Linked DNA regions of Elephas maximus indicus. The main gene of each other region encodes a partner of the protein of the gene in region 2 in a complex. Links are inferred from orthologs where the notes say so. Each region holds a gene or a part of one and is shown on either strand. Other genes may lie near its edges. The genes, in order: MED8, MED25 and MED18.

Region 1 (3,749 bases), on a different chromosome or scaffold from region 2:
CATTGAGGGCCAAAGCCAAACTCTATGTGTTAAATGTTAAGAAACCCAGCTCTTTCCAAATCAAAAGCTGTTTGCAAGCTGGTAAGTGGTTACATCACTGGAGACGTCCTACCTGCCAGAAGGCCTGTCCCTCCATGCAAAGAGCCCTCCCCAGCTTGTTCACACAACCCTTACCAGGTCAGCCGGTCATACTCGTTCTCCAGCTTATAAATGAAACTCCCCAGTGAGTTCTTCAAATCAGCTGCTTGACTCAGCAGTGCATCTAATGATGCCTCAAGTTGCTTCTCCTCCCTCTGCACCAATAGGAACAGGTTGGTTACCCAGGTGGATGTGAATATGACACACAAAGAAACAAACAAAAAAAACCATTGCCGTCGAGTCAACTCGGACTCAGCAACTCTACAGGACAGAGTAGAACTGTCCCATAGAGTTTCCAAGAAGCTCCTGGTGGATTTGAACTGCCGACCTTTGGGTTCGCAGTCGTAGCTCTTAACAACTACACCACTGGAAAGGAAGGTTGAAAAACCAAGGAGGACAGTGTGTAATACCTGTCAGGTAACATTGGATCTCACTGGCATAGGAGAGCCAGGCTTGGCATTTGGGTTACAGACAGCATCAACCCTAAACTTTTCAACTGGTTCACAGACCTCAGTTCCTCCAACCAGCTGATTCCTTCCTCTCATCACCACCTACTCCAGGCCTGATTTTTTTGTATTGTTGTTGTTGGGTGCCCTCGAGTAGATTCTGGCTCAAAGTGACCCCATGTGACAGAGAAGAACTGCCTCATAGGATTTTCTTGGCTGTAATTCTTACAGAAGCAGATTGCCAGGTATTTGTTCTGCAGAGCCGCTGGGTGGGTACGAACTGCCAACCTTTCGGTTAAGAGCTGAGCACTTAACTGTTGTGCCACCACAGCTCCTTTCTTTGTATTACCAAAACCAAACCCAAGCCCACTGCTGTCAGGTCGATTCCAACTCATAGTGACCCTGTAGGACAGAACAGAACTGCCCCATAGGGTAACCAAGGCTGTAAATTTTTTGCAGAAGCAGATTGCCACATCTTTCTCCCAAGAAGCAGCTGGTGAGTTTGAACCGTTGACATTTTGGTTAGCAGCCAAGTGCTTAACCACTGTGCCACATTCTTCCTCATTAAGAAATTTTTACTAAAACTAATGGCTGCGTGCGTTATCTTTTGTGAACCTCTGCAGCACATGTACCCCAGCTTCCTCTGTCCTCGAACCTACTTTGTGAGCCTGGCTATTCTTGCCAATGACACAATCTCTGGGAAATCTACCTACACGTGCAGCTTTCTCTGAATACCATTCCTGCCCTCCCCCCTTCCCCAAACTCTTCCTCTACCCACGACGTTTGATGTTTCTGAGCTCCTCCTCACAGAATTAATTTGCATTTATTTTGTTTATCTCTATGCCAATATCCCTGTGATTCTTTCACAAGCTCAGTCGACCTATATACATTTACCGAGAGACCGGCAGAAAGAAGAACCTAAGTGATAAATGAAAATTTAAAAAATGCACTGAGTCGGAATCGACTCGACGGCACTGGGTCTGGGTCTAAGCACTAGACAATTTGAAATGTTTGGGGTCCGGAAAGCATTTCCTCCCCATTTATGGGCTCCTGTTTTACTTTATTGTTTCACCTTTAACAGCTATGGGCCACAGACCGGGAAGAATGATGTAAAACCGTCTTGCAAACTCGCTAATGTGCCTGACGCGAGCTTTAACCATGGGTTCTACCCACGGCCTAATGATATAAACAGTTTAGCTTTCGGTCTCAGTGGTCACATAATTCCTTCACCCCTCAGGCCTCTCTCCAAAAGATCACAAAATCTCTACATCCAACAGCCTCCTAGGCCGGGGGCCTAAGCCAATCGCTCACTTGCTAGAGAAGTGTTCCATGGACTGCATCTCAGGCTCCTCATATTACAACCTAATCCTTCCCACACCCAAATCAGGGCTACTTCCTTCCGATTTAGCCACAGTCTCTCCTGTCAAATGGGCCCCGCCGCATCTCTCATCAACGGCACCCTCTCTTCGGCCGGCCTTGCGTTCCCTTCCCAGTCATCCGCGGGCTCTAACCCATCGTCTCAGCCCCAACTCCTCCTGGGCCAGTTCACTCTCCGTGCGGGTACCGGAAGCTCGTCGGCAGTCAACATGCCCAAGCTGATTCTCACCTGCATTGCGGTGGCACCGGTGGCGGGAATGACTTCCACTTCCGGTTCCCAAGTTAGCGAGCGGCTCTGGAATAGCCGCTTCCACCAATCAGAAAACTCTCACTCGGCCCTCCCACCCACTTCCGGTTCCTTTCGGGTGCCAAGGTAGCTGGGTCAGAGGTCAAGGGTGGAACCGCCTCCCGGCCCCAGCTTGCGCCGGAGGGCTGTGATGGCTTCGGAGCGCCCGGAGCCGGAGGTGAGGGGCGGGCGGCCGCAGTGTGGGCCTCGGGATCGGAGGGTGGTTCCGGCGGGCAGGCTCGGCTGAGGCCTGCAACGGGCCTGAGAGCGGCCGGGCTGTGTAGCCTTGGCAGGGACCGGCCCAGCCCCAGAGGCTTGAAAACCTAACCTCTCCGCGGTCCGAAGTTTCACCCGGGAGCTAGAGCAGAAATTTTTCGCTTTGTTTTTGTTTAGTGAAGTTTCATCCATTTCGCCGACTCTAGCGCTTTCAGGATTCTTTGTCCTAATAGTGGTATTATCAAAGCCTGGATCTTGGTGTTCGGTTGCTGTTTCAGTGGGCAAAATGGCAGTAGGCCGACTTCAGCATTTCTTTAAGCATTGGAATGCCATCAGAAGCATAAATTTAGTTCTAGCACTCATGCTTTTTGGAAAGGCGATTCTGGTTTGCGTGAAAGAACATTTGACTCGGAATGAGACCTCATTCCAGTATCGACCCTGCCATTTAGCTACCTGTGCAACCTCGGACAAGCCTTAACTTCTTTGATCCTGTAACTTTCTTTATTAAGTACCTACTTACCGTGTATTGTGAGAACCACGTGTATTAAACCAGAACATGTATATGAGGTATCCATTAGGTGTTAAGGACCACACAAGAAACTATATAGGCTGTGGCATTCAAACGTGCAGGGAAGGTGGCAATATCCATTCTCATCTACAGTTAAGGAAGCTGAGAAAGGAGAGGCATTAAGTACCTTGTTCAAGTGATACTCAGATGGGGAGTAGAGGAATTTTAGAAGACTTGAGCATACATCCTCTGCAATATGAAAAGAATACTACCACTAGAAGAAGTGCCCAGTATTACAAAAGAATATGCTTCGTAGATGAAAAGAGTGTCGGGTGTGTATGATATAAATAGTAGTCGTTATTACAGAATACTTAGGGCATGCCTGGCACTATTCTAAGCACTTTAAAGACGTTAGTTAATCCTCTCAACCTAAGACAGGGAGCAAAGGCCCTGAGATCGGAGGGTGCCTGTTTGAGAAATACTGAAGAGACTACTGTGATTAGAGAAGAAGCAAGTAAAAGAGAAATAGACTATACAATCAGGAAGGGAATATGGGGTTGAGTGTGGAACCTAGAGACTTAGTACAGAGGGGCCCCCAAATCTGCAAACCAAATAACAAGAAAGAGGCCAGGGCATAGAAACAAAGCCATTGCCCAGAACAATGGGACAGGGTATCTAAAAATAGCCTTTCAGAAGCAGCTGGAGAAAATCAGACCTAGGAATATGCGCAGAGCATCCACCTGTGGCTGCTGTGTGACCTTCCACCAGGGGCAGTGAG
Region 2 (3,749 bases):
CCAACTCATGGTGACACCGTACGTTACAGAGTAGAACTGCTCCACACGGATTTTCTTGGCTATAATCTGTCATCGATTCATTTAGTTATCAAAATGACCCTATGAAGTCGTGATAACCAGGCTCCAAGATAACCACGGACAATCCCCGCTCCTGGTATTCACGGCCTTGTGTAGTGCCCTCATTGGGTCTGAAAGGTTATACAGAGGTTTACTAGACGATCGAAGTATGAACTACATTCTGGGTATTCCTAGACAGTCAACGGGGCTGACTCGTGTGCCAAACAGAATTTGGCAGAAGTGACGGTACGTGATTTCTGACACTTTTTAGGCCTTGTGGCTCCCTCGTGATCTACGTTGGACTGCTCACTGTAGGGCAAACCAGCTGCCGTGCTGAGAAGATACTGAAGCAGCCATGTAAGGGAGCCATCTTGGAAGTGGTTCCTCCAGCCCCAGTTCAGCCTTCAAATGACTACAGCCCCAGCCAACATCTCAGCTACAACCTTATGAGAGACCCTGAACCAGAACCTCCCAGCTTGGCTGCTCCTATGTTCCTTGCTCACAGAAACTACATGAAATAATGTAATGAACATTCGTTGTTTGAAAACACTACATTCGGGGGTAATTTATTATAAAAAATCAAACTATTGCAGTTGAGTCAACTTCAACTCGTGGCGTCCCCAAACATTATAGAGTAGAACTGCCCCATAGGATTTTCTTGCCTGTAATCTTTATGGTATCAGATCACCAGACCTTTCTTCCGTGGTGCCACTGGGTGTGCTCAAACCACTAATATCCAGGTTAGTAGTTGAGCCCAAACCATTTGCACAACCCAGGGACCCTGATTCATTATGCAACAATGGCTAGGTACTACAACAAAAACTAACATAAGCATGATCAATGTCTCTGTTTTACAGATGGCCTACATCAAGCACAGCGGGAAAAGGGACTCCTGGGTCTGAGAGTTAGCTTGTAGTCTAACAGTATTCTAACCCAGGCTAACTCCAGAGTTTGCACTATGAACTATGAAAATCCACTCCAAACCACAGAAGGATCCACTTGGCCTAGCCCTGGGCCTCCTGCTATCAGGCTTCAATGTTGTTAGATGCTGTCCAGTAAATTCTAACTCTTAGTGACCCCATGTGACAGAGCAGAACTCCTGACAGGGTTTTCTAAGCTGTAATTTTTTTTTTTTTCCACTAATTTTGGGGGGAGCAGATTGCCAGGTCTTCCTCCCATGGAGCCACTGAGTAAGTTAAAAGTGCCAGCCTTTTGGTTAGCAGCCGAGTGCTTAACCATTGTGCCACTAGAGCCTCTTGACTTCAATGTACGCATCTGAAAAAGAGGCCTGGAGTAGACAGGAAACAGCGGGCAGTAAGGCAAGGGCACAGCTCAGTCACTGATGGAGTCTGAGGCAGATGCTAGAGCTCAACCAGACCTATCTCATCTGACTGGTTAAGTTTTTCCTGCTTTCAAACTGGATGACATACAGAACCTGCCACAGAAGTGACTTAGGGACAAAAACACACAAACGCCCTCACAGAGTCCTTTCAGCCACCCAGTGAGAGTGAATGGCTCCTGCAGCTCACACCCAAGCAACCATTCATTCACCCTTCCTCACAGGATTCCCCAAACTGCCCCAAGAAGGGAAGAAGCTCACTTAATGCCATCGAGCCAGGTGACAAACTCATAAGCGCTGCTGGTAGGAGCGTGACATTGTACGTAGGACTCGGGAGCACAGTCCACCGTGTTGAATACGACAAGGCTGTACTGGGTCCCCCCATACTGAGAGGAGAAGAGAAGAAACATTTAATCAGGGCCCCGCCCCCTCCTCCCTCGGACCCGGGAGTTTACGTCCCCGGGCCCCTCCTCCCTCAGAGCCCGGAGTCCCTGTCTCCCGGCCCCCTCCTCCCTCAGACCCCGCGGTCCCGAGACTCACGTCTCCACCAAAGTCCGTCTCCGCAGGAGGACCACCATTAAAATACCTGTCAGGGTCGGAAGTGAAAGGTCGGGGTCAGGCAAAAAGGTGAGGAAAACTAAAGTTGGAGGGCGGGGCCGCAGTCGCGGAAACCTCACTCACTCGATGGCCGGGAGCAGGTAGTGCTTGCGGAGGCCCTCGAAATAGGGCCCCAGGTTTGCCGTGCCTTCAATCACAAACACTACGTCGGCCACCAGGCCCCCGGCACGGGCCGGGCCCTCGGAACCGGGGACCATGCCCCGAGCAGCAGCCGCCACCGCCGCCGCAGCCGCCGCCACCTTCGCGGAATGGCCGGAAAAGCGCCTGCGCCGCGCGCGTCCCCGCGCGGGGCGGGCTCCCGCAGCTGCTGACGCCCCCGCGGCCATGTTTGTGCGGGGCATCCAGGACGCCTTTGCCCCATCTTTTTCCTTGCTTGTTCCCTCAGAATGGGAGACTCGGAAGAGGCTTAGTGAATTATTTCAGGAGCCTAATGCCGGAGATTGGATTATCGGCCGGGCCGAGGAGAGCTACACACATTCAAAGTGGCTATTCGCCGCCATCTTTGAGCGGGGCACCGCTGTTTACCACTCCGGTCAAAATCCGATTTGGCCAAGAGATTTGGTTGCTATGCAACTAGGCGGCACTTGTTTTCTAAAGGGAGATTAAGTTTCTATCTGGTGGATGGGGGGTTTGGGGAAAGGTCCAATCACATCGCTGGAAACAAGGTTGCTAGGCAATCATTTAAGGTTGCAGTCAACTTGGAAAGGAGTGCAGCTGTTACCCCCCGCCCCCCAAACTAATTCCAACTCAAGTAGAGGTTGGTAGGCAACACTTAATGGATGTTTTCTGGGAGAGGGCCCAGAAACTGACCAAAGACATAAATACATTCCAGGTGGATTAAAAATCTGAATAAATGAAACCATGAAAACATACGAAGTAAAACAGAAGCACACTGTGTAATCTTGAAAACTGGAAAAGAGTTTCATGGCAGGTGTCATGGACTGAACTGTGTCCCCCAAAAATACCTGTCGATTTAGCTGGGCCATAAGTCTCAGTATTGTGTGATTGTCCACCATTTTATGTGCTTTTCTTATGCGTTGTAAATCCTATCACTATGATGTAATATAAAATGGATTAGCAGCAGTTATATTGATGAGGTCTACAAGATTAGGTAGTGTCTTAAACCAATCTTTTTTGAGATATAAAAGAGAGAAGTGAGCAGAGAGACATGGGAGCCTCGTACCACCAAGAAACAAGTGCTGGGAGCAGAGGGCCTCAGGTTCGTGTGCTGAGATGCTCCCAAAGCAAGGGAAGACGATGAAAAGGACCTTCCTCCAGAGCTAACAGAGAAAGAAAGCTTTCCTCTGGAGCTGGCACCCTGAATTTGGGCTTCTAGCTTACTGGACTGTGAGAAAATAAACTTCTCTTTGTTAAAGCCATCCACTTGTGATATTTCTGTTATAGCAGCACTAGATGACCCAGAGAGCAGGCAAAACCAGAAAACTTAAATACTGATAAATTTGTCCACAAAAGACTCCATAACTAAATTGAAAGATAGACCATAAACTGGGAAAATATTTGTAACATGTGTATCGACAGAAATTTACTATGCACAAAAAAAATATTAGAATTTAAAAAAATAGAGATACTTTGTCATTTAAAACACGGGGAAGAGTCCGACCAGTCTTTTCAAAGAGAAAAATTAAAACGGGCCAGTAAGTATATGAAAACTCATCTCCACTAATTCAAAAGTGCTAACGGAAAGTCCAGGGACATAACAGTTTATGATTTTCAT
Region 3 (3,749 bases), on a different chromosome or scaffold from region 2:
TTGAAGTAAATAATAGCATATTATAATTATGGCAAAAATTGATAACCCATTGCCAGAGTCAATTCCAACTCATGGTGACCCCATGTATTTCAGAGAAGAACTGTGCTCAGTAGTGTTTTCAACGGCTGTAATCTTACAGAAGTATATCACTAGGCCTTTCTTCTACAGAATTGCTGGGTGGATTCCAACTGCCAATTCTTAGGTTAGAAGTCAACCACAAACTATTTGTATCACCAGGGACCTCAAAAATTGATAGTGGGACTCAGATGACTAAATTTTTGGAAACAACAGTGTTGTAGGAAAAGAACGTGACCAGGTCTAAGTAATCACAGGATAGAAGATCCTTGGGAGCAGGGACTGGTATCCTGTATTTAGGGCAGGATCAGACATGCGTTTGTTCATTCCTCAAACATTTCAAGTATTTAATAAGTGTTGGTTCACTGAACATATAGATATTTAATACCATGCCAGGTACTGTGTTAGGCAGTTGAAGGCCCTTCCCCTCATGGAGATTAGTTTAGTGCAGGAAATAAAAAATAAATAAGTAAGGAAACAAACAAATATAAGGAAATAAAAGGGAGATGGCAGAGACAGCAACTGGTGGAGTGGGGAGGAGAGAAGGTCTCTCTGAGGGGGTGGAATGGTCAGAGAAGACCTCTTTATAAAGGGGTGACAACTGAGCTGAGACCCAAAGGATGAAAATTAGATGGTCATTTGAAGAGATATGAAAAAAGTATCTAGGGTGGATGGGTCATCAAGTAAAGGCACTGTCTTAGTTATCTACCACTGCTGTAACATAAATGCCACAAGTGGATGGCTTTAACAACGAGAAATTTATGCTCTCACAGTCTAGGAGGCTAGAAGACTGAATTCAGAGTGCTAGCTCCTTGTCATCAATCTTCTCCAGTCAAGGAGCTTCTCAGCACAGGGACCCCAGGTCCAAAGGATGTGCTATTTTCCTGACTCTTGTTTCTTGGTGGTATGAGGTCCTCACACCTCTCTGCTTGCTTCTCTCTTTTATATCTCAAAAGAGACTGACTTAAGATACAACCTAATCTTGTAGATTGAGTCCTGTCTCATTAACATAACTGCCTCTAATCTTGCCTCATTAACATCAGAGAGGTAGGATTTACAACACATAGGAAAATCACATCAGATGACAAAATGATGGACAATCACATAATACTGGGAATCATAGCCTAGCCAAGTTGACACACATTTTTGGGGGACACACTTCAATCCATAACAGGCACTGAGGCGGGAGACAGTCTGGTAAGTTCACCTGTCCCTATAATCATGACCTATTTGGAAATAGGCGGTTTCTTTTTTATGTTAATGAAATCATACCAGGGTAGGGTGGATCTTACACCTAATAACTTCTAACTTATAAAAAGATCAGAATGGACACAGAGATACACAGAGGGAGAAGACAAATGACATTTGAGGACCAGCTACAAGCAAAGGAATGTCAAGGGTCACCGACAGACACCAGGAACTAAGAGGCAGGTTGAAATAAGGAATCAATACAGCTGAGACCCTGATTTGGACTTTTAGCTTCAGAACTGTGAGAAAATAAATTTCTGTTCCTTAAAGCTACCACTTGTGGTACTTCTGATGACAGCAGTAGGTAACTAAGATGCTGCTTTAAATTTTCCATAATAAAATATTGGGACAAAAAATAGTTGTTGTCTACTGAGTGTCAGAAATTGTGTATGTCAGCTTTGTATAAGTTCCTCATCTCCAGGGAAGCTGAAGAAAAAAAGAGGAAGACAGGTAATCCAAGTTCCCTGGTTTACTTACCTTGAAGCAGGTACTCCATCATGTTAATGGTGCCCCCAGTGACAGGCATCATGGTGACTGGAGGTGCCTCCATGGTGTCTGTCTGATTAAGGTGAAGACCACAGAAGTGGACTCAGAGCCCTCAATCAGGTAAGGCACAGGATACACCTGGAGAAGAGTTAGACTTGTTTAAACATCAGAGAAGTGGAGAGACTGGCTTGAGTCACTGGCCTGGACATCAAAAGATTCATTCAAAACTTTCTGAGTAACTGTTACATGGCCAGGCACGGATACAGAAATATACAAAAAAGATCTGGTCATGGAGTTACAGCATAACGTTCTAGTGTCAAATTCTCAACTCTCCAAAAAGTTAGCTGGAAGTTAGAGGAAACCGTGGAACTCCTCACTCTGGGACTCAGTGTCTTCCTTATTAAATGGGACCATAATATCTAACTCCCAAGACTTTGTAGCGCAAACGACATGATGGGCATGCAATAAAATTCTGAAGAACTGAAAGACGATTTATGGGACCCTGTCTATAAAGACACGCAGCAAGTCAGTGGCGGAGCCCGGACCAGGCTAGAACCTAGGCTCTGCCTCTCTGAATACTGAAATCATCTTTTAAAGCGGGACGGAAAAAAGAGTGAAATTCTTTGAAGATGACAAAATAAAACCAAACCCACTGCGTGGAGTGTATTCCTACTCACAGCGACTCTATATGACAGAATAGAACTGCTTCATGGGGTTTCCAAGACCGCAAATCTTTACGGAAGCACACTGCTGCAGACTGCCACGTCTTTCTCCCGCCGAGCGGTTGGGGTGTTCCAACTGCCGACCTTTCCGGGAGCAGCAGAGAGCTTTAACCACGGCGCCACCAAGGCTCCTTTACCGGCTTCCAGGATACGTGCACACTTACACTAGAAACGCACCTCAGCGCGCACTATGCTTCTTCTAGCAAAGCCAGGAATTATATCCACCCGCGCACCTCGGAGCCTTTAAACTTTAGCGACAATTACACTCCAGCCCTCAGGTTACCCAAACCCGGAACGTCCACTGGCGCGCGCAACCATATTATCGCCCCCTCTCCCTACTTCCGGCAGTACAGAGGGAGTCGCGTAAACCTTGACACTACCGCTCCGCCACGTACGGGTGCCGAGAAGTCACGAAATCGTCCTCTTCGCGGCCCGGCAAGCAGAAGAGCAAGCGCGGATGCAGTGCTACTGTTTGGAAGATGGTGGCCTCCTTCGGTGCGTTTTCTTGGGGACTACCAGGAGCGTTGACGTCGTAGTCCGTCCTGCAGGAATTTTTTTTTTTTTTTTTAAAGTTTGACGACCTGAAGACGTTTTCGTATAGGAAATCTCTTGGAACTGGTAGGACTGAAGATTATGCCTAAACTTTGAACTCCTAACAGCGCTTCTTAGTGGGAAAAGAGGAGAGTGGAAGGGGAGAAAGTTATAAAACAGAGGCCTCTGTTGTGTACCTGAGGGTGAAAGGAGAAGGCGCCCTATACTGTTTAGCATAATGTTCTGCACAATTAGGGAGCTGAGTAATACACTCAATATTAGTTCACTTTAAGTATACCCAAGTTTAAAAATATAGGGAAACAGATAAAAGTTAAAAATATTTATTGAACACCGCTTGTGTGTGAAGCACTAAGGTGCAGGCAGAGCTGGGAGTTGGGTGAGACAAGGAGGCCCTCACCTAGAGCACAACATTTAAGAAGGTGCCCCCCAAAAAGTAATGAAGATAAATGATATTTTAATGAAATATTTTACAAAATTAGAAAAACCCATAATGAACAAAATATCAAAATTTAAAATTTGATCCTGACAGCAACCCTATGAACCAAATTCTATTATTATTATTATTACTGTCATTTTACAGGTGGGGAAACTCGAGCAACTGGATGTTCTGTAACTTACAAGTGGGTGGAGAGGCTGAGATACAAACCTAAGCAGCTGACTTTAGAC

Evidence for each region.
Region 1: MED25 (region 2) and MED8 share a complex: the UniProt entries of both Homo sapiens proteins name them as parts of the mediator complex. The link is inferred for Elephas maximus indicus from reciprocal best matches to the Homo sapiens genes MED25 and MED8.
Region 3: MED25 (region 2) and MED18 share a complex: the UniProt entries of both Homo sapiens proteins name them as parts of the mediator complex. The link is inferred for Elephas maximus indicus from reciprocal best matches to the Homo sapiens genes MED25 and MED18.

What each region holds. Positions count from the first base shown.
Region 1 is NC_064821.1:85,606,507-85,610,255, forward strand, and holds the start of MED8 (mediator of RNA polymerase II transcription subunit 8), read right to left. Parts: upstream 2,269-3,749; 5' UTR 2,197-2,268; coding exon 2,191-2,196; intron 294-2,190; coding exon 175-293; intron 1-174. Other genes in the region: KICSTOR complex protein SZT2, read left to right, coding at 2,399-2,425. UniProt on the Homo sapiens protein: Component of the Mediator complex, a coactivator involved in the regulated transcription of nearly all RNA polymerase II-dependent genes.
Region 2 is NC_064829.1:100,257,677-100,261,425, reverse strand, and holds the start of MED25 (mediator of RNA polymerase II transcription subunit 25), read right to left. Parts: upstream 2,256-3,749; 5' UTR 2,212-2,255; coding exon 2,078-2,211; intron 1,983-2,077; coding exon 1,937-1,982; intron 1,783-1,936; coding exon 1,658-1,782; intron 1-1,657. UniProt on the Homo sapiens protein: Component of the Mediator complex, a coactivator involved in the regulated transcription of nearly all RNA polymerase II-dependent genes.
Region 3 is NC_064821.1:68,790,966-68,794,714, reverse strand, and holds the start of MED18 (mediator of RNA polymerase II transcription subunit 18), read right to left. Parts: upstream 2,871-3,749; 5' UTR 2,765-2,870; exon of another isoform or gene 2,487-2,764; intron 1,948-2,486; 5' UTR 1,874-1,947; coding exon 1,801-1,873; intron 1-1,800. UniProt on the Homo sapiens protein: Component of the Mediator complex, a coactivator involved in the regulated transcription of nearly all RNA polymerase II-dependent genes.